Arabidopsis thaliana: one gene and its partners. The protein of the gene in region 1 interacts with the protein of each later gene in a pairwise test. Each region holds a gene or a part of one and is shown in the gene's direction. Other genes may lie near its edges.

What was found. The genes of interacting proteins can lie anywhere in the genome.
Region 2: the proteins of AT3G13410 (region 1) and MPK20 interact in a protein complementation assay, tested with the Arabidopsis thaliana proteins (one large-scale study listed by BioGRID).
Region 3: the proteins of AT3G13410 (region 1) and AT3G23300 interact in a protein complementation assay, tested with the Arabidopsis thaliana proteins (one large-scale study listed by BioGRID).

Annotation. Positions count from the first base shown.
Region 1 is NC_003074.8:4,360,142-4,367,470, reverse strand, and holds AT3G13410 (2-C-methyl-D-erythritol 4-phosphate cytidylyltransferase), read left to right. Parts: upstream 1-3,154; 5' UTR 3,155-3,333; intron 3,334-3,419; 5' UTR 3,420-3,438; coding exon 3,439-3,560; intron 3,561-3,693; coding exon 3,694-3,796; intron 3,797-3,892; coding exon 3,893-3,952; intron 3,953-4,136; coding exon 4,137-4,199; intron 4,200-4,323; coding exon 4,324-4,524; intron 4,525-4,627; coding exon 4,628-4,739; intron 4,740-4,829; coding exon 4,830-5,041; intron 5,042-5,229; coding exon 5,230-5,322; 3' UTR 5,323-5,836; downstream 5,837-7,329. Other genes in the region: AT3G13420 (uncharacterized protein), read right to left, coding at 1,165-1,287, 1,636-2,020, 2,283-2,476, 2,656-2,748.
Region 2 is NC_003071.7:17,838,097-17,846,522, reverse strand, and holds MPK20 (MAP kinase 20), read left to right. Parts: upstream 1-2,142; 5' UTR 2,143-2,575; coding exon 2,576-2,599; intron 2,600-2,987; coding exon 2,988-3,396; intron 3,397-3,722; coding exon 3,723-3,850; intron 3,851-3,974; coding exon 3,975-4,034; intron 4,035-4,113; coding exon 4,114-4,263; intron 4,264-4,360; coding exon 4,361-4,516; intron 4,517-4,663; coding exon 4,664-4,875; intron 4,876-4,955; coding exon 4,956-5,057; intron 5,058-5,287; coding exon 5,288-5,430; coding exon of another isoform or gene 5,431-5,453; exon of another isoform or gene 5,454-5,514; coding exon 5,515-5,951; 3' UTR 5,952-6,355; downstream 6,356-8,426. Other genes in the region: AT2G42885 (Defensin-like (DEFL) family protein), read left to right, coding at 1-17, 257-408.
Region 3 is NC_003074.8:8,330,593-8,338,306, forward strand, and holds AT3G23300 (S-adenosyl-L-methionine-dependent methyltransferases superfamily protein), read left to right. Parts: upstream 1-2,204; 5' UTR 2,205-2,644; intron 2,645-2,674; exon of another isoform or gene 2,675-2,725; intron 2,726-2,885; 5' UTR 2,886-2,928; coding exon 2,929-3,168; intron 3,169-3,250; coding exon 3,251-3,415; intron 3,416-3,495; coding exon 3,496-3,678; intron 3,679-3,758; coding exon 3,759-4,353; intron 4,354-4,477; coding exon 4,478-4,590; intron 4,591-4,684; coding exon 4,685-4,905; intron 4,906-4,991; coding exon 4,992-5,310; 3' UTR 5,311-5,643; downstream 5,644-7,714.

The DNA of each region.
Region 1 (7,329 bases):
AACCTCTTTAATAGGAGAATCGGGGAACACGGTTTATTAACTTACCTCTTGAAAATCAAATCAACGAAAAGTCCGAAGAATATCCAAAAGGAACAAATAGTAGACGAAGAAAACAGTCGAGCGACAAAGGACCAAAAATTCAGCAGAAAGGGATCATCGCCGAGAGGAATATTTTGTGGGTAAGTGTCTGAAAACGGCTGGAGATCCACGCAGACTTTTTTGAGTCTTTGACCCCTTTTTCAAAATTATTAATCTAATCAAATCTCATCTTAATAATAGTCAGACCGACGTGGATAAGTAAGTTATACCAATTTTTATAGGTCAAAGAATTAATTTGCACGAAACTCCTTGGCTACTATTAGGCCCAATTAATTAATTAGTACCGCAACTTCGCAATTCACATGGGCCGGTGGTTCAACATTAGGCCCCATGCCACGCCATATTCATCATTCATTTAATCATATGAGTTGGAGAACTCGAGTCAAATAGAGAGACTAAAATGGCTGGAATCTGGCACCAAGTTAGTCTCCTCAAGTTGTCATTAGATCTTATAAAATGATAACATTATGTTTATATCTGTTTCTTCTATTCTCTTACGGATATTACAAAGAATATTTCCCCATAGGCAAATCATGTTGCTACTTTAAAAATCTGCAATAAAAACTTCACTGTTTACCAAACATTTTGGATGAAAAAACTATCTTTGAAGTTTATACTAACCCTCCGATTCACCTATTTTTCATGTACAGAAAAGAATGCTAATGTACATTCGTAGTCCAAATAACCCCAATTCTATACAGTTCCGAGTAAAATGAATGATGATAAAGGCATTGTTCTTGCTTGTTATCCACTATGTAAATCTCGGATCTGGATTCTTCAAATTGAAAACAAAGAATGGCCTTAGAATTGTTGAATGAAGTTGCTCGTGACAAAAGCTATCTTCCTGCAAAAGTGAGTTGGAAACTGCCAGGCAAAAATGATAAAAGCTGAGAGCAGTGCTGCAAGTAGTAATGTAGATTGACAAACACATGCAATTTACTGAGTCCAAGGATATACCAAAGCAACAAGTGTTCTTTCTATGTCTATAAAAAGGTCAAGTGTGAAAGTTAACCTAACCAAAAGCAAGGTATAGTATAGTACCGTCCACAATCATTAGATGTTCTATCAACAGAGACTAGAATGAAGTGCTTCTAAGGATCTGGATAGAGGAGACTTCTTTCGAGAGGCTTCTGCAGCAGATGATTGGGATCCTTTGTAAATGTCTCCAGCTGAATGGTGCTTAATCACCTACAAAAGGTTGAAAACCCACTTGCTATGTCTGTGTAAGTTTTAGAGGAGTACTGAGACAAGAAAAGCAGCATACTATGATGTAATATCAATACTATGTGGCCTTTGTTTGTTAGTGAGAAACAAGTTTCACCTAACCTAGAGTGGCAAAGAGCTAAAAAGCATGGTTGGGTGATCTAGATAGTTCAATCCAATTCTCACTATATTGCATACAGTTTCAAAAGAAAGGTCCGAAAAGAAGCATCTGGAAACCCAATTGGTAAAACCATAGACAAACCAAGTATAAAAACCTCAACTACAATGAGTACACAAACAACTTAAGAGAAGAATAGGTAGAAATAAAAAGACCTGTGTTGCATTGGGCAAAGTGATATTGCTTAGGCCGCCATCTAACAGAGGAGTGTAGGAGGCAGGTTCGTCAATAGAATCTTCCAAGATTTCGTCAGAACGTGAACGTTGCTTAGCTATAGCAGGAGCCTGTAAGAAGCTATTTCGTAATTCTGGATCACGTGAACGTTGCCTAGCTAAAAGAGGAGGTTCTAAGAAGCTATTCCGTAAATCTGAATCTGATTGACGGGGAAATGGAGAGTCTATAATAGAAGCTCCCAGCCTATAGATCTGAAACCATAACAGAGAGGACGATAGCCTCACAACGAACCCAGCAATTTCCATAGCCAGGGTGAGTTTCACAGAGAAGATGTAAAAGACTTGATACATATCAGATGAAATGTTCCTGCATTAACAATTAAATCTTTTGTCAGTTATAGGCAGCAGATGAATACTGGCTCAACAGAATCTAAACACGACATAGCAAAGATTTGCAAAAAAAAAGGTTTAAAGATCAATCAGTTCAAAAAGATGATGAGCCAATCAAGAGAAATTCAGGACAGTTTACAATATGTGATGCAATGAAAATTAAACAAGACAGAGCAAACTCTTAAACCAAATATTTGATCATGATCACAAGCACGGCTGTTCCAAGGATAGTGACATACCAAATCTCTTTGGAGAAGAGAATGAACCATGAGACATCAAGAAGAATGGCGCAGAAAAGAAGAACCGCATAGGTTCTGCCAAGACTTTGGCTATTACTCTCGATTGCTACTAACCCAAATAACGCAATCGCCAAATTTATCAGCACGACTCCATTGTACAATGCCCCTAGTGAACCGATCAACGCGCACCCTATCTGAAACAAATGATTCATCAATATGAGTTTCTTGCACTTCTAACCACAATTAAAAGAATAACAAACAAATATCGACAGAGAAATCGTAGAACCCTAATCCCAAACAGATACGAACAATTCACGAGAAAAAACGTGAAATCGGAGGAAATGAAACAACTACAAAGCGATTACGGATTTACCTGAGCATAGATAAGAATCAAAACGACAGATTGGAGCCTAACGTAGTCGCGAAGCCAATTATGTATTCGATTTCGTAACGAAACACAAAGCATCGTAAAATCTCAACCTCGCAGCTCTCGTTACTTGTTACTTCAATGGACTTTCATAATACAAAATGGCTCGACGATTCTGATGCTAAATTGCAATTTTCCGGCGAACGAAATCGGTGAATCAAGAGAGAACGACGATTTGAGAATTTTCGTGAGGGAGAAAGTAAAGAGTGTCTTTGGCGGGATCGCGTTGCAGAAGAGGCAACAAAATAAAAAAATGAGGAAACGAAATATTCCGTTCAATCGTGACGAAGTTATTATAAGATTTAAGGAGGTTTCCGTTTCTTGTCCAGAGTGACGGACGCTTAACGGAGTCACGAAATTTTGGGCCGTATTGGAAAATCTTTAAAAGCCTAATCAAGCCCAAAACTTCAGACCGGTTAATATCTGAACATAACCGAAACCGGTTATCTCGGTTAGCGATTTTCGTTTCAAAAACGACGCCGTTAATTCCTTACATGTCGACTACTCATATGTGTCGCCCAGATTTGAAGATCGGAGATATGAATCTCTTCTTTCTCTGGATTTGAAAGTTCGATAAAAATCTACTGATACATCGACTTCTGGAAGCGATCTCGATCTCTCTAGGTTTGTGATTATCTTTGAATTTGCTGATTGTTTCGTTAGGCGTGAGGAATTGTTCGATTGATTTTTTTTCCTTTTGTCTCCGGTAGAATTGTTTCGACGACGAAGATGAAGAAGATTCAAATTGGTGCGGTGGCGCTATTGGTGTTTCTATCTGTGGCCTCTCTCTTTGAAATCGGATTGGCTTCTCCGAACACAGTTCCTGCTTTCCTCTGGTCTCCGCATCTCCAGTTATGCATCTTGTTTTCTCTATAATTCTCAATTTGATTGATGGAAATGTGTAAAAAGCCTGGGACTTGTGATATCTGATGTGAGTTAGCTTAGATTACTGGGTTGATTGGTTTATGTGATTCTGAAAATCAGGTCTGCTAATGGTGAATTGGATGAGGCTGTAAATTATCAGGTCATGTCTGCAAAGGATCTAGTTGGTTCTGTTTTCACTCAAGGAGGTTGGTCAAACTTTCTGGTATGGTTTCTTCTTCATGATCTTATGATTTCAATTCTACAACTCACTGGATGTCAAATGATTTTTCTTATTGTCATTACTGTCTCCTTTGTTTAGTGCTCAGAGAAGAAGCTTGAGCAACCTGTTGATGTTGCACTTGTGTTCATAGGCAGAGAGGTAATTGAATGATGTAGTATTGTTGTTTTAACATTAGCATAAATGACCTTGTGGATCTTTGGTTTCTTGTTGTGATATTGTAAAGAAACTGATGTTTTAATATTGCGGGAAATTAATCGTCTTTGCTCTGTATCTTCTGTGTTATGCTGAGAATTCTAATATTCACGTTCTCTTCCGCCTGCAGTTACTGTCTTCTGATGTTTCTTCAAAAAGGAACTCAGATCCTGCCCTTGTTAACACATTGAATGTAAGTGCAAATTTTCTTTTCTTCAACAAGAAATTTCGAAATTGCATCCGTAACACAGATCTCTGACATAGTTGTTTGATATAAAGTTTACAATACTCTAACATCCAAGTCTTTGTTTCAACAGAATCTATTTACAGCTTCCAACTTCTCATTGGCATTCCCATATATTGCTGCTCCAGAGGAAGAAAGGATGGAGAATTTGTTACTTTCAGGGCTTAAAGAAGCTTGTCCCAACAATGTAGGAGTCAGCAATATCGTGTTCTCAGATTCGTGCTTTGTTGAGGATGGAACAATTCAGAAACTTTCAGACTTGCAGTCTTTCAAAGTAATACTCATTGCTCTTAAGTTTTTATTTTCCCTAATCCCATGCCTTCCCAGTGTTATCACCCCCTTAACTTCACTTTCTAATACTCATTAATAATTGACAGGATCATTTGCTTGCTAGAAGAGAAACAAGGAAAGAAGGAGAAACTGACTTGGTTGTGCTCTGTTCCGAGGGTTCTGAATCGAATAGTCAAGCTGGACAGTCACATTCAGAGCGTAAGTGGAAAGATCATTACAAAATAATACTAACAATTAGATATCATTTGAGAACTAGGAAATTAAGCAATTCTTTGACCTATTCTGCAGGTGAAAGCTTCTTGGAACTTGTTAGTTCTGTAGAACAATCCGGCAGTAAATATACAGCTCTTTATGTTTCTGATCCTTATTGGTACACATCTTACAAAACTCTCCAAAGGTTTCTAGCTGAAACTGCTAAAGGAAACAGTACTCCTGAAATTGCTACTGGCTGTGATGAACTCTGCAAATTTAAGTCATCACTTTTGGAGGGCATACTAGTGGTAATTACTCTTTTTACTCGTGTTTTTTTGGTATTCATCGTTCTCAAGAAAGATTCATAAACATCATAGAATGGACAAGTTTAATGAGCATCTTGGTCATATCTAGCTGGAAGATAATTTAATTCAATGTGTTAAAATTTCGTAAAAGCCTTTGATTATGTCTCGTCCTTTTCTTTTTCTTTTTGCAGGGAATCGTTTTTCTTCTCATCTTGATCAGTGGACTTTGCTGTATGGCGGGTATCGATACACCGACTAGATTCGAGACTCCTCAAGATTCTTAAGCTGTTGACCTTAAGAGCCATCCCCACCTTTTGCTTTGCTTTTGACGAGTCTTTTCTTGTGCATAGTGCGCATTGTGGAAGGTACTTCAATGTCGATTTGTTACATTATTACTTCAAAACAAAATCTGCATATGCCATAAAATCCCCTTGTATCATTTATTCATCTTGTTTGTGAGTCTTTCTTAAACGTCATAAATTAATAATGGAGAACGAGTAAAAAACCAGAGATACATACACTGGAGAACGGATTACATTCTTTTTCAGAATTTTTTTTGTTTCTTTTTCTTAGATTATATTCCGGAGTTATCGTGCTCATAGTATCGTATTCATATCAATTTGGGGATTCGGACATAGATTTTCTGGAAGAAAAAAACTCAGGACAATAATGTCGGTAGAGTCAGAGTGGTAGGACATGTGTGTGTACCATCACTTGTATAGATAGATAGAAAGATAGATATAGATGATAGTTTTGTGAACAATTAAGAAAATAGTAAGAATACATATATAAGTTTTGTCATGCAACATGCAATTCTAATCCAAATTTAATGTTTGCCTCGGCATGTTTAGTCATTATTAAGTAATATCGATTGAGCAATTAGCAGTTTATAATTTATCTAGATAGACCTTTTGTTTTGACTATTTCGTTGATTTGTTCCATGATTCAATACTTAGCAAAACATCTTCATATGTTGGGGTCCTTATGGTCCCTGCATGGACCTATTGACAAAGTCATAAGATCAATCTTTCAGATTCTTTGATTGACCTCTCTCTCTCCATAAAGAAGCGTATAAAGAATCAAAATGACCGAAAACGATGGTTCTATTCATCTTTTCCCCACTATACATACTCCTACATTTATTCTAACATAACACTATTCGTATCCCTGTTTTTTTCAAAGTTTATACTATAACAAATACATGACTGTATTTGTCTAATTACGAAGAAGTTTCAAAAGCATCATTTATGAACAATGTTTATCTTTTTTTTTCTTACACAAACATTTATAAAAAATCATGTCACCATGACATGTAGCTTAGTTTTATACTAGCGATATTTTTGTGTCATCGTCCGAATTAGAATTTGCATATAATGCATATTATCGATAGAATTTATACGACTTTGTTTTCTATACTGCCACATAATTGAAATTTAAAGATTAGAAATATTACGTATAGGTTTTTTATTGAAAAAAATATTTTCAGTTTCGCACAAAAATATATGTAAAAAACAAATAGAGGGAAGCACATGAGACATAGGGGTTTGAGCCAAAAGAGCAGTGAAAATCCCATCGATCTGCCACTCCACCAACTGACATCACATTGTACCCATTTTCTTCTTCTTTTCCTCAACTATCCATTTTTCTTGTTTAGACAGACACCCCCGCAAATATTTATTACCTGAACTATAACAACAACCAAATTTTGAAATATAAAGAACAATGTTGAACTAACAAATTTGCTTCATCTTTTATTTGCTTTAGCTTTCATACGTAAAATCTCTTGTGGCGTTCACTTCAAATTTTATAAAAAAAAAAAAAAAATTATCTTCTGTTTAACAACATATGACATCTTAAATTGATATTTTAATAATAATGAAAAACTATAAAAATGTACGGCCACGCAAAAGTGACCTACTCGAGCAGGTCCTTTTTTGATCTTTTCGATAACTTTGAGATTCCAAGTGCTGATTTCTGTGAATTTTTGTATATATATACACACATATTTTTGTCAAAGAAACAATATATATATATATATATATATATATGTATATAACTGACGGTCTCTATTTACCGATTACTTGTTTATAAATTAACTTATACGGAGTATAAAATATAGATGTTTATTTAATAGTGCCCTTTCGAGTACCTGTCGGGATAACTAGCTAGGGTTACACGTAAATGTTGAGATTCTTTCTTCTTTTAAAAATGTTTACGAGAGTCCCTTTTTCTCTCTTTCTACACACATTTATTTCTCTCGTGAGTTATTTCTTAGTAAGTCCTAAAATTAG
Region 2 (8,426 bases), on another chromosome or scaffold:
TGTTGAGGCCGAGTCAGGTATGTTGTTTCTTTGCGAAGATGTTTATTTTTTTTTGTTATTTTCAACTATCTTTGATCACTACCAAAACAATAATTCAGGAAACAAAAAATTCTTAAAAATATAGAATTAGTAATACAATATTACATGTATCTGTGTATATGTATATGTTGTTAAGAACCTTGAAGAAACTAAAACTGTTATTTGGACATGTATCTACAGATTTATAGTTTTAATGTGGAGTTGTATATATGTGCAGTGATCGAGCCAGCAAAATATGGTGCTTGCCTTTTTCTATGTGATGCTAGACGGGATGATCATGCATGCTTCTATGACTGTACTAATGTAGCTATTTACCGGACTGGACATTGTGTTGGAAATCCTCCACGCTGTTGTTGCATCAGAGGATAATAATCGATTTATCTTCATGACTTCATCAATAATTGGTGAATGGAGCTTGATTTATGTGTTTTCTAGTATATGATTCTAAAAGATGAACTTTTTGAATTGTTGTTTTTCAATTTCTTGATAATGAATAAAACATATAACTTATCATGAATTTTGGTATTGGATTATGATTTTTGAGAGCTTATATGATCCAAAGCAGAGAACTTGGGGAGTGGTGAAAGGCCTTGAAGAAGGATTATTGCCTGGCGCTTGTAAGTGGTCAAAATGAGTTACCCTGGTGGGAAATTGGTTCTGTTCTTGCAGAAAACAGAGATCTTGTGTTTGCAGAAAAATTGCAAACCGAATCTTACATTTTCCATATCTCCTTACCCATTTTATGTTCGCAGAAAAATGAAAGACGTAAATTAGATTTCCTCACATTTTTTCACATAAAAAGAAAGAAAGATTTCCTCACATTTATTCAAGACTAGGTACAAAAATTCTTTGAAGATCATTTTGAAAAAGGATTAGGTCCACTAGATTGAAAAAGACTAGAAAGTAAAAAAAAATGAAGATATGTTTTCTTCTACATGAACCTTATGATGCAAATATCATTTTGGCCAAATACATAAAACAACAAAAATTTAACTTAATTTAAATCAAATTAACACCAAAAAGAAGATTAGAAAAAACATGTCTATTGAAAAAAGAATATGGAAGTATAAAGTAAAACAGTACTAACACACTATAAAAAAAAATGTATTATTCTTCGTTTTTCAACCAAACACTATGATTTGTGCTTACGTAACAAGGTCTGATTGATATTTTTTGTTTAATCCCGTAAGACTAAATATAAGATTCGCTCAATCGTCAAGTAGTTTAGTTATTAGCTAATCAAAATATGATTATCTTTTTTATAATTTAGTTAAATAATTACACTAATGTGAGCTGGTTTGACTTTTGATTTTAACCACAAGAAGGAGACAGTAAGACAGACTAATGATTAGCTGGTTTATTACATTTGACAACAAATCTCTCACGCGTCAGAGATGACGTGGCGTTAACTATTCGGATATGAAAAGCCCTGCGTGTTTTAAAAAAATGGCATGGCCCATTGGGCTAGTTAAGTGAGAGTTTGTTTTTTTTTCTACCCCTAATATTACTATATTACACTCATGCCACAACCAAAAGCTAAATTAATATTGTTGTTTTTAATTGAAGGTTATTTGATATACAATATTAATGGAAAAAAACAAAATAATATATATTTTTTTTTACAGCAAAATAATTGAGAATCATATTACCAGAAACTTAATACAAAAAATAAGCTAAAAATTCCTTACAAAAATGAAGATGATGAAATATAGATTGAAAATATAATTTAGCAGTATATACAATATAGCAAATGATAAAGTGAATAAAACAAAGTTTTAGCAACTAAAATTAGCAAAAAAGCTTTTAAGGATAAAGATGATAACATTCTATTAACATTATATCTATGAGATAAGTACGTGACAAAACGAAAGAATTGGATAAAGAAGACATGAATGAATGGCAATAAAGATCAAAAATAGATCATACACTAATAATGACCAGATCAATAATGTCCTAATTAATTTATTAACACTTGATCAAATAATTTATTTTTTCGTTTTACTAATGGGTTGTTTTTTTGGATCACAGTGACCAAAGCAGCTTACCAAACGCGACACTTTAACCTCTATATATAAATCTCCGTCTAGATTCCTTCCTTATCTCTCTCTCTCCTTTCATTTTCACTACTTCTTCGTCTCTCTCTCTCTCTCTCTCTCTCTCTCTCTGTATCCCTTGTGTGTCGGTGATCAGATCTCGTGCCGACGAAAACGTGCGTCTAAAGCAATGCTGTTCGCACTCTGCTATCTTCAATTCCTCGATTTATCTTGAACTGCGATTGTTTGTTGTTGTTTCGATTTCGTTGGGGGTAATTGGGTGAATTAGAGAGGTGAATGAGAAATTCGCCTGCGATTCTGTCTCTGTCGGTGATCGATTGCCGGAGCAGAACCAGGTCGGATTCTAGCTTCGCCATTTGGAGTAGTGGTCGATGGGGCCAATGCGGCTGATCTGAATTTCTATTTCCCTCCCCCCAATTCAGATCGAATTCTAGGGTTCTTCTAATTCCTGGGTTTTTAGTCTGTGTTTCAATTGAGTCACGATGCAGCAAGATAATCGCAAAAAGGTGAAACAAAAACTCTTCCTTTTTTCCAATTATTCCATCCGATACTATCTGTTCTGTCTGAGATATTTATGTGTGTGTTTCGGTTAATCTTGTTTGTTTCCTGTTACTGTCTTTAATCTTTTTGCCGTTTTGGACAACTCTGTTTATGATCAATGAACGTTACAAGTGTCATCAAACAAACAACGCATAATTGTCATCATTCAAGACAAGATGATGTGTTGTTGAGACATTTTTTTTATTTCTTCATCAGCAAATTGACATTCAATTGCATTGATCCTTCATTAGGCGTCCTTTGTAGCATCAGTAGAGAACCTTCTGCATCTGATTCTTGTATAGTGTTATCTCTATTGTAATGTTTCTGACTTGGAAGTAATGGTATTTGTAACAGAATAATCTGGAGATGGAGTTCTTTTCTGACTATGGCGATGCCAATAGATTTAAAGTTCAAGAAGTTATTGGAAAAGGCAGTTATGGAGTTGTTTGCTCAGCTATAGACACTCTTACGGGTGAGAAAGTCGCGATAAAGAAAATTCATGATATTTTTGAGCATATTTCTGATGCTGCGAGGATTCTACGTGAGATTAAACTTCTTAGACTCCTAAGGCATCCAGATATAGTTGAAATTAAGCACATTATGCTTCCTCCTTCACGAAGAGAATTCAAAGATATTTATGTTGTCTTTGAGCTCATGGAATCGGATCTTCATCAAGTTATTAAAGCCAATGATGATTTGACTAGAGAGCATTACCAGTTTTTCCTGTATCAGTTATTGCGTGCACTGAAGTACATTCACACAGGTAGTCTTTTTCTTTTGGTCTCTCTTTATCCGGCATCTAGCAATAGTCTTTTCATCTTCAAATCTCTCTGTGTGTATATATCGCTCTCTCTGTAGATGAAAATCTTGGACACTTGCAAAATGTAGTGTATGTCAGATTTGTCTTTTAGGACTTTACATTCTACAGTACTATCTCATACATTGATGCACTGAATTGGATTCTTGCGGTTTCCATTGTCTGGCTAAATGTTTGCCTTTTGAAGTTTGCCCCAATATATCTGAACTTTAACTCAGCTGTCGAGTTTGGTTTGTTGTATTATATTATCTTATGAATCTTGGTTGTTGCAGCTAATGTCTACCACCGAGACCTGAAACCAAAGAACATATTGGCAAATGCAAACTGTAAACTTAAGATTTGTGATTTTGGATTGGCAAGGGTTGCATTCAATGATACCCCCACAACAATCTTCTGGACTGTACGTTTGACAAGATGGCTCTCTAAGAGTCTTTTCCTTCTCTTAAACTGAAGTTGGTCTAAATATTATTCACTACGTTGCAGGACCTGATACTCTTCTACATTATTTTCTACTGAATTTACAGGACTATGTTGCTACCAGATGGTATAGAGCTCCAGAGCTTTGTGGATCTTTTTACTCTAAGGTGTTCATTTGTTCTCTATATAACATCTTTTAATTGGTGTGTTGCCGCGATATAACTTTTGATGGATTTGGCTTTGTAGTATACACCCGCAATTGACATCTGGAGTATAGGCTGCATTTTTGCGGAGGTGTTGATGGGTAAACCACTTTTCCCTGGAAAGAATGTGGTTCACCAGCTGGATCTTATGACTGATCTGCTAGGGACACCTTCCCTGGACACCATCTCACGGGTATTGATCTTCTTGCTAAACGAAGTCCATTGAGTTTCTACACATCTTAAGCAAGGACCAGTAGTGATGAGTACCCTGCTTTTATGATGTTATACAGGTGAGGAATGAGAAGGCAAGGAGGTACTTAACAAGCATGAGGAAAAAGCCACCCATTCCGTTTGCACAGAAATTCCCAAATGCAGATCCTTTGTCTCTGAAGTTGTTGGAGAGGCTTCTTGCTTTTGATCCAAAAGACCGGCCAACTGCTGAAGAGGTGCTTTTCAACTTCCATATTGACTAACTATCTCAAATCTTGAATTCTCGGCTTCCTGATTGTTTTCTCTCTCTAATAATAGAGTATCATGCATTTGGGGTTTCTATTGGAGTGAATCACTAAACTACTCTTGTATACTTGAATCAGGCACTTGCTGATCCATATTTTAAGGGATTGGCAAAAGTGGAAAGGGAGCCTTCATGTCAACCCATCACGAAGATGGAATTTGAGTTCGAGAGAAGAAAGGTCACTAAAGAGGATATAAGAGAGCTAATTTCTAGGGAGATACTTGAGTACCACCCTCAGCTGCTTAAAGATCATATGAACGGGGCTGATAAAGCCAGTTTTCTCTACCCAAGGTCGTAATTTTTGTTGATTACATTCTTGAGCTAGCATTGCATATCACACCCAGTCCCTGACATTGATGTATACTGTGCAGTGCTGTTGATCAATTTAGAAGACAATTTGCGCATCTTGAAGAAAACAGTGGTAAAACCGGCCCTGTGGCACCTCTAGAAAGGAAACATGCCTCTCTTCCCAGGTATATCCTCATTTTTTCTGTAAAGTCTGTTGTCACTTGATCTGGTTTCGGTGATCTCCTCTGTTTTTGACCCCCGTTATGCAACTGCTATACTAGTTGTATATTAATATACATTGACATGGCAAGGATAAAAAAGATGGAATCATAAGACCGTGACTATCTGTTTCTTGTGTTGAACACTAATTTCTATAAAAATATGTCCTTCTGACTCTGTGTTTGCATGCTTTCAGATCAACGGTCATACACTCAACCGCAGTAGCACGAGGAGGACAACCAAAACTTATGAATAACACAAACACATTGAACCCTGAAACTACTCAAAACATTCCTTTTAATCATGCAACAATACAAGCACAACAAAGAAACCTCTCAGGTACTTTTAATCACTCATCCTGAATCCAACAGCAATGTGTCCAAACTGACCTCTATAAACTGTAAAACATCTATCTACACGCAGCAGCCAAACCAAGCACATTCATGGGCCCGGTTGCACCTTTCGACAATGGCAGAATCAGCAGAGATGCATATGACCCGAGATCATTCATCCGGAGCACTAATCTCCCCTTTTCACAACAATCTGCTGCAACAGTCGCCATGGGAAAGCAGCAAGAGAGAAGAACAACTATGGAGCCTGAGAAGCAGGCAAGACAAATATCTCAGTATAATAGATATGCACCAGATGTAGCCATCAACATAGACAACAACCCGTTTATCATGGCTAGAACGGGAATGAACAAAGCCGAAAACATCAGTGACCGGATCATAATCGACACAAATCTGTTACAGGCAACTGCCGGAATAGGAGTCGCAGCGGCAGCTGCAGCAGCTGCTCCTGGTGGTTCTGCTCACCGGAAAGTTGGAGCTGTTCGGTACGGTATGTCAAAGATGTACTAGTTCTCCACCTAAGCTGGGCTTTCATCACACAGAACATTGTATGTTTCCATCTTCATGTCATAAAAGAAAATTGTCTATGACACAAAACCATATGAGCAAAAAATATTTTTTTTATTAATTGTGATCCATCATTTGTTTGTTTTTTCTATTCCGACAAATAAATAAATGGATGTTAGATTCTGGTATATATAACAAGAAAGGTTGAGAGTTTTTCACGTTTAAAAGAACCGCTGGCTACAGAAGATGGATCAGTGTGGATGCGCATGGTGATGATGATGATGGTTTCATGGCACATCCAAACGCATGTGGTGGTGGGAACCCATATCACAGGCACCACTTTGTTCTTCCAAATGTCAGTAGAAACAGAAAGGTGCATTGTCACTTGATCATATCTTTAAACCAACCAATTTGTGTATATATTTTTGTGTAAACAGTTGAGTTCGCTTACTTTCTTCCTAAACAAGTTATTTCTTCTACAAATTAATAAATGAGCACAATGAGAGATTGCTGTTCAATAAATAGTATCTCAAAATAGAAATATCAAAATAAAATTAGAAAAAATCATTTAAAGATTATTTATTCACTTCTATTTTAATTAAAATAAAAATAAAAAAATTTGGGATCTTTCTTCTTCTTTCTGATTATAAAGTTTTTAATAAAATAAGTTTTAAAGCAAAAGAGAGATATAGCAAGTGAAAATGCATGTACAATTGAAAAAAATGCAACTAAATGAGGCCAAGAGAGGAGACAAATAAGGTTAGAGGTGGACCCAAAAACCACTGTATGCATTGTCCCAGAGATCACCCATCATGGTAGGTCCACCTGTGTGGCCCATATCTCCAGCCTTTATAGAAAAAAAGAGAAGATAACTAATTAACTTCCCTTGATTTGGAGTTTTTTAGCTAAACATTACATATTTTCTTTCTTAATCTTCCCCTTTCTTAATTCTTAAAAAAACATATACTGTCTTGTCTTTAACCAAACTCTTCTCTTTTATTTTTGTGGCAACAAAAATAAATAGTGAAAGGGAATCATCTCAAACTCCTCCTAGATATAAATATTTAGGTTTTCGTCATTAAATAAAAGTTATTTTGGAAAAAATAGAAACAACGAACAAGATACAAAAGGACATAGAATTGATTATTCCAAGACGACGAATGTGAAAGCTGGCTAAAAGCTAAAATTAAATTTCGAGTGTGTTATTTTTGTAACATATTTAATGTAAGTGCAAATACATAAATAAATAGATACTAGAATTGGGGAGAGTGTCAGTTTGGTAGATGGTGAAATGCGAAAGGCACCCGATTTTTGTAAATCTCAATCCCGAGAAACCAAACCCTCCTTCGTCCCCTCTTTGGAAACATCATCTCTTTCTTTATTTCTCTCTTCCATCTTCTTCTTCTTCTAAAACAACATCTTAACAATTTTTAGTATTACTAAAAACCCTAGACGTAAAAGAAATGTGTTATTCTGTTCCTGATCTTTGTCTTAATTAAGACCATACATTATTTCTTTTAATTAGATGTCAATCATTATTCTTTACTAAATTTTTTTTCTTGAGTAGATTTAGGTTAATTTGCAATCTTGGATTAAAGACCTACAAAAATGCAATTGTTTTTTTTTAATGCAATTATTTTTTATTAAGTCTTTATCTAGTTTTTATATCATATAGTTGACAAAAGAAATGCACCGGAGGGCTCATTTATGGAACCAACATTAAGTAAGATTTACTATAACGGTTTTATGTATAAAAGATGTATATTATAAAGATCTCTAGCTAGAAACATGTAACACTATATTCGAATCCAATAACACTAAACTTCCTTGGCTTTCTTCTTGTTATATAGTGGCCATTTCTCTAACATTATAGATATATTGAGATTGTTGTTTTTACGTGGTAAGAAATATGGGATGTTAATTGGAGTTTCTTTTAATAAGAAAAAGGAGTTGACAAAAAAAAAATGAAGGACAGATTTAGGAGGTCACTGAGGTGGGGGGGACCCAAAAAAGGGTTGACACGTGGCCACCATGCCCGATAGATATCATGTGGATCTTAGTAGGATTAGGTCCTCAATTGTACGAACAAGTTCACTATCTCTTAGAGGATCTATTTGATCTCATCCATCTAATAATAATACTATATTACAGTCTGTACATAATGTATAGAGAGGAGGAAGCACATGGGAATGGGGCTTTGAAGATGGAGATATTCATGTGACCCGCACATGTCCTCTCCTCTCTCTTCCTTGTTCCCATGCAAGTAGTGTCTCACTGTATCCTTCTTCTTTTCCTTCCTTATCTCCACGCGCGTGGTCGTTTTCATTTCGTCCGTACTACGTAATTACGACAAAACTTACTCTTATACCATCAGGCATTAGTCCATTACCAGGCACCACCCGAATGGCCTATAAGCATAAGTGCATAACTATAGGGTTTGTCGTCGTCTACTTGAATTTTTCTTTTGGAAATTTAAGC
Region 3 (7,714 bases), 4.0 Mb from region 1:
AACTTTAGTGATCTCATATAATTTTGACATTGATAAACCAAAATATCTTTCTATTAATTTTAAAAATATAAAACATAATTATAAAAATTTATAATTTTAAACAATTTAAAAATGTAAACAAATATTTACAAGGAAACTATACTTATATATCATACGTAAAACAATTTAAAAAATGTAAAATGGATAATTATAAAGAAACAATCTGTATTTTATTATATAAAAACAGAAATTATTATATCATTTACTTATTCTGACTTAAGTTTAAAAAGATTACTTTTTCCTTCAAAATTAAAAAGAGATTTAAGAAATTATACAATTAATTAATAAAATACTACTATAATTAAGGTAATTATACAGTAAAGTATTAATCTTAGAAAAATGGTGAGGTAGCTGAGTATCTTTCGCAACAGTTCTTCTAAGTAGTTAGCAATTTTTTTACCACAAACAAAACTAGTTGTGCCTAAAAAACATTTTTTTCTCCTCCGTTAGATCTTCAGTCCGATCTCTGCCATACCTGTACCTAGCTCAAGATGTGAGAGCCCATTTATTTACAGGCTTTAACCCATTTGTTTAACACAATTGCCGAATCAAATAACTATTGTTTTGTTTTGAGGTCGACTAAAACAAAGTAATTAGTGAGTTACAAAAATAACAGAACTGCACTAAACGACCATAATTTTAAATGGATTAAGTATATGAACTTTTTAGTTTACAGTATACACTAAATGACATAAATTTAGAAAGGACCCATGACTTGTAGTGGTGAGTCTATGTAACACAACTTGAAATTAAATTGGTATATAACATACTGTTCACAGAATTTTTTTGAAGGCTATTCAAACTCTAACAACAACGACATTAAAGATGATATTGTTATGTTATATTAAACTATATATATTTCATCTTGGATTCCATTTAACAAAAGACATGAGTTTAGAAGAAATAATATGAATTTCGAAGGAAGAACATCATATATCTTAATACAAGTTTATAGCCATTATGTTCATGAAGGGTGGATGAGTGAAACTCCATGGAATTTACAAAAATAAAAATTTCATCATTCTACCCTTAAAAGAAAATCTTGTGGATCTACCACTTTGAGAAAGTTAAACTGAAATTATAGGTATGTTTTGGTAGTCGTCTAAAAAACTTGTCCATAATATGTTGTGGTCAATCAAAAGGTGGCCATTAAAATCTACCAAACATATCATTTATGGACTAGTTCTTGGGGGTTTAGCTTTGATGGACAAATTTTAGTGAACAAGTGGTAATATACCAAAACATATTATGGACAAATTTTTGATGAATTAACTAAAAAATACCAATTTTAGTACTATTTTGTAGAAATGGCAGGTCCATAAAATTTTAAAAGAGAAGATAGAATGAGTAAAATATCCTTAGAAAATCTAAGTCTAACAACAACAAAAGTTTCTTAAACAACATCAAAGAAAATTTAGTACAAAAGTTTCTTAAACAACATCAAAGAAAATTTAGAGCCCATGTTCTAGTGGTGATTGAGAATTGAAGAAAGGTTGAAAGGAACTAATCCATGTTTGGTCCACCCTCGAAACAAAAAAAATTATATTTGTGTGAGATGTCTGGGTTTGAGCCAAATACCTAAACATCTTATCTGGTAGTCACTAATATATGATCTGGTCGAAAAATAGTCCAAATTCAGAACAAACAGTGTAGTGGCCCTTTTGAAAAAAATGTACTTTAAAGCACTTCTTTTTTATCTGTGTTAATCGGACCAGCTAATAAGATTAATTTTAAAAAAAAACACAAATTATCATACGAATTTATTCGTGTGTTTTGCAATATATATTTTCGAAAACTTGAGGATACTTGGATCATATATAGAAGCATGACGACGAAAATAACACAATATGTACAATTTGATACAAGAAAATGATAATAAAATTTACAAAACAATTTGCCAAATAACATGTTAGTTAGAGTATAGCACCCATCCAATTAAATAGCTTTTGCAAATGACATAAGTTTCTAAAATATCCACTTAATTAATTTTCTTTTCTTACGTTTTTTACATCCTAACTAACACTAGTATACTCAATTAATTTTTCGTAACATTGGTTACATACCTAACTAACTAGCTCTAGAAAATATATTAAAATCGGGACAAGTCAACCATTAGACATGTGTAAGCTGAACCAAATCGAGTCATTTATTTTCCCAGTAACCCACTCTCACCAAGACCAGAAAAAAAGCGTAGATCCAGAGGCGACAATATTCAAACACACAAAAAGTCATCAATATATATAAATAAATAAAAGAAAATACAATTCCTCTTCATATAATTCATATTTTCATGTTACGAAAACAAAAAAGATCACCGACACATAAAACTAAACCAAATATTTCAATGAAAAATTAATTAACGACTTTGACGCTTTATTTCTCTTTCTCTCTTCACTCTCTCATTATATCTCTTTCGCTGCCGCTTTTGTTACTTTTTGTTCGTTCGAATCCCAATATAGACCAACGAAGAAGAAGACGAAGAAGCAGTCTCTCAAACTTCTTCTCCAGATCCGAATCTCACTCTCATTTCTCCGATCTCTCTATTTGAATGACCTACAATTTCGCATCTCTTTTGATCTTGATCTCTGTTTCTCTCCTTCTACTGGTAAGTGATTTCCTTAATCCGTTTCTCTGATTTTCTTATTCCTTCCTTTAACCTTGTATCTGAAGCTTCCTCCGGAACTAGGTTTACGATTTGTTTAATTTTGGAATTCGATATCGATATTTTGTTGTGCGTTAATTGTGTGTTTTTATCGTAGCTTTGTTTCTCTGTTTATCAGATCCATTGATAAGAAGCTTTTTAGATTGTTAATGGCATAAGCACGATATGTTTGTTTGTTTTGTAGAATCTCTTGTTTTGAGTAATCACTAATATACACAACGGCGGCGATGAGGGGGAGATCAGAAGGAGGGAAGAAAAAGCCGGTGATTGTGTTACTCTGCGTTGCATCAGTAGTGCTTGTTTTTGTATATCTCTTCTTTGGTTCCTCTAACCATAAAGCTATTGAGTATGGGAGGAAACTTGGTTTGGGTGGTGATGATGATGATAGTACTAAGAAAGATGACACTTCTAGCTCTTTTTATGTAGAAGATGTAGTAGGGAATGGTTTCACTCCCAGAAGCTTTCCTGTGAGTTCTTTAGACCTTCTTTGTGTAATTGATGATTGAGTTGAGCAATATGTGTTTAATATTGTTGTTAATTCTTGTAAAGGTGTGTGATGATCGACACTCGGAGCTTATTCCTTGCTTAGATAGGAATCTTATATACCAAATGAGATTGAAGCTTGATTTGTCTTTGATGGAGCATTATGAACGTCACTGTCCTCCTCCTGAAAGGAGGTTTAATTGCTTGATTCCTCCTCCTCCAGGGTATAAGGTGTGTTATTTCTCTAGCTTTGTTGATATGATCAGTGTCTTGACATATTTTGAAGTTTTTTTCTATGTGAATGTGTCTAGATTCCAATCAAGTGGCCGAAAAGCAGAGACGAAGTTTGGAAAGTGAACATTCCTCATACTCACTTAGCGCATGAGAAGTCTGACCAAAACTGGATGGTTGTTAAAGGAGAGAAAATCAATTTCCCTGGTGGAGGCACACATTTTCATTATGGTGCTGATAAGTATATTGCATCAATGGCAAATGTAAGGCAGTTACTAGATCTTATGTGGAATAGAGGTGTGTGTCCATCTTCATTTACTGATACTATTCATGGAAATTGCAGATGCTTAATTTTCCGAACAATGTTTTGAACAATGGGGGAAGGCTGAGGACATTTCTTGATGTTGGCTGTGGTGTTGCTAGCTTTGGAGGTTATCTTCTTGCATCAGAAATTATGACGATGTCTTTGGCACCTAATGATGTTCATCAGAACCAAATCCAATTTGCTCTTGAGAGAGGGATTCCTGCATACCTCGGCGTTCTAGGGACCAAGAGGCTCCCATACCCAAGCAGATCCTTTGAACTTGCTCACTGTTCACGTTGTCGTATCGATTGGCTTCAAAGAGATGGTATTCTTCTTCTCGAGCTAGACAGGGTGCTAAGACCTGGTGGCTATTTTGCATATTCATCTCCAGAAGCATATGCACAAGATGAAGAGGACCTCAGAATATGGAGAGAAATGAGTGCTCTTGTGGGCCGTATGTGTTGGACGATAGCTGCAAAAAGGAATCAAACTGTAATTTGGCAAAAACCTTTGACAAATGATTGTTATTTGGGAAGAGAACCTGGAACCCAGCCTCCTCTTTGCAATTCTGACAGTGACCCTGATGCTGTGTATGGTGTAAACATGGAAGCATGCATTACTCAATACAGTGACCGTGAGTTTTCATTATTCTATCTTCTTTTCACTAACAGAGTTTCGTCATTAACTTCACAAGCTTGTGATATTGCATATCTGAGAACAAATATGCTCACTAAATTATTTTTCAACGTTTCTATTAGATGACCACAAAACCAAGGGAAGTGGATTGGCTCCATGGCCAGCTCGATTAACCTCTCCTCCTCCTCGGCTAGCTGACTTTGGCTATTCCACTGACATTTTTGAGAAGGATACAGTATGTTATGCCCATTATCCTTTTTATTTGTTGCAATTGAAGCTCCAATAATATAAAGACTGTAGTCACCTTAAATCATTGCTTGCTCATACAGGAAACTTGGAGGCAGAGAGTAGATACTTATTGGGATCTCTTGAGTCCTAAAATTCAATCAGACACTGTAAGGAACATAATGGACATGAAAGCAAGCATGGGTTCCTTTGCTGCTGCTCTGAAAGAAAAAGATGTTTGGGTTATGAATGTTGTTCCTGAAGACGGACCAAACACGCTTAAACTAATATACGACAGAGGCCTGATGGGTGCTGTTCATAGCTGGTCAGTTTCTCCCTTAACCTTTCACTTAATCAAAATCCATTAGTATATATGTGCCTCTTATGATTTATCGTCTGATAATATTGCAGGTGTGAAGCGTTCTCGACTTACCCGAGGACTTACGATTTACTCCATGCCTGGGACATCATATCTGATATCAAGAAGAGAGGTTGCAGCGCAGAAGATTTGCTGTTGGAGATGGATCGTATACTTCGTCCAAGCGGTTTCATACTCATAAGGGACAAACAATCCGTAGTCGACCTTGTGAAGAAGTATCTCAAGGCTTTGCATTGGGAAGCAGTTGAAACCAAGACAGCCTCGGAATCAGACCAAGACTCGGACAATGTGATACTCATTGTCCAGAAGAAACTGTGGTTGACAAGTGAAAGCCTCAGAGATTTGGAGTGATTACGATGATGATGATGATGAGGCCAAAAACTGCCTCCAACATGAAAAAACAAAACAACATTCACAAGAGATTTCTTTCTTGGGAGAATCTAATCGAAAACATACAACGAAGAAAATTCGTTTTATAGCGGCAATTTAACGTTCTTTTCTCTTAAATCTTTCTTTCTTTACATATTCATATAATGTTTGTATGGTTCGTTAGAGAGGACTAAAGTTTCTTATCAATTTAAACTCTTTTTGTTGCAATTTATGTATTAAATCATTGTTTAATAGATTGATGATTATTCATTACTAAACACTATATTCAATCTTAAGAGTCATACTTCATAAAGCTTAAATCCAAAAACTTGGGATGATGAGAAATCATCTCTTTGAGCTCTTTAGAATAATAGTTGTAATGAATGGAGAAGAGTGATTGAAACAAAGGTATGCGTGCTGTTTACTTAGTCCCCATTATATAACTCACTCTCAGAAGTAACTTTACTGTTGTTGGAAGAAATCTTTAGGTTATGTCCCAAGCAAAATTGAAGATAAGTTATTGTTCTAAGAGACAAAAAGGAAATATAATTAAGAATAATTGCATTTGATGATTAGAACATTTTATTGGTCCAAAAAGGAGACTAAACATGTGAAAGCATTCTACAATTTTTTTTTTTTTGTCTCGTGGACACAAAGCTGAAGCTGTTGTCCACTTCTTTAAGTTAACTCCCATAATCGATGCCCCTCACTTTCTCGATTATATTCTATCCAAATTCAGTAATTGATTTGAAATTTCTTAGCCATGAGTCCATGACAATAACAACTTTATATTTGCGTTTTATGGCTAAACTCATACAACAATATATTTTTAACTTTATTTTTACATTTTATCCTTCTTAATTCTTATGTTCAGTTTAGCTAAATTATATTTACATGCGAAATGATAAGCATGAAGATTTTGTTTAGGTGACATATTTGCTAACATCTCTTTAAAATGTATATTAAAAAAAACATAAAATATTTTGGGCATAAAACTTAATGTGGAATTTTATTAGTTGTCTCATTTAATATGTTTATTTAATATATCTGTATTTGTGGTATTATAATGAATAAGACATTAAATATGAATAAAAATTCCAAAATAATATTTGCACGTTTATGATAGAAATAATAAAAGTCTATTTAATAACTTGAAAAGAAATGACATGTAGAAACTGATTTCAAATGTTAAATACTTATATGGATACTGGATACATCATCCAAAACATTTTTCAACTAATTTTAATAAATAATATAAAAATACTTTTACCATTTCCTTACATACCAACTTAATAATTTTCAGACAATTAATCATGACGAACACATTGACCGTTACATCATATGAATGATAAAACAAAAATAGTGGTTTCTGTTTTGGTTTTCCTATTACTAATTGTTGGAAACCACTTCAATTATACGCGTTACGTAGTTTGATACATTGAATATATGGTACAATATACATTAAATTTATTTTCGAAAAATATGAATGTGATACATACCTACAAAGTTTGGCAAATACAAAAATGGTCCCCAACGTTACTCTCCCCCACCTCAAAGCTGTTCATATCGCCCTTCAAAGATTGTGAAAATCAAACCCTTATCCTCTTAAAACCCTTAAAATGTTTTCTTCTAAAGAAAAAGTTGCTTTCTTATTTTTATTTTTATTTTGAATTCTGGTTTTGGCGCATACATATTAGCGAAAATTAGAGAAAAAATTCCTGTATATGCAAAAAAATTAACGTTTTTTTCCTACAAAATTTAGTATAAAAATCAATAAATATATTAAAATTATCACACAAGAATTAACTTTGAATTTCTTTTCCAGATTAGCTTTTAATATATTTTGCTTTGTAATAAAGAACATACTGTATTGAAATATGTTCTACTATTAACTAATATGAAGATTACCGGTAAAGAATTACTAATGTTTCATCTACATTAATTTTTGTGTGCCCATAATTTCAAAATTTTGCCTAGAGTGGGATCAATAATTTTGGTGAAGATTGAAGAAAAAAACTAAAATTTGGGGACAACATTACAAAAGAGCATTCAGTATTTGGAAAGCTTAGGACCATGGTGATTTAGAAGCGCCACGGGCGTGATGCATACTGCATCTTCGGCGGACATCAAGGCTTTTGAAACCTTTTTCTAATTTTGTTATCTATATAATTCACATCAAATAGAATTAGTGAACTAATGTTTACAAAATTAGGTAAAACATAAATTATATGTATGAATTAACAAACTATTAGTTTAAAAGTAACATATAGTCTTATTTTTTTGAAACAAAAAGATTTACTTTAATAATATATTTTTTTTTTTTTGTGTGTGGATCCAGAAGAATTGTGAAGAAAAAAAATTCTTCTAAACTGCATACTAGTCACAC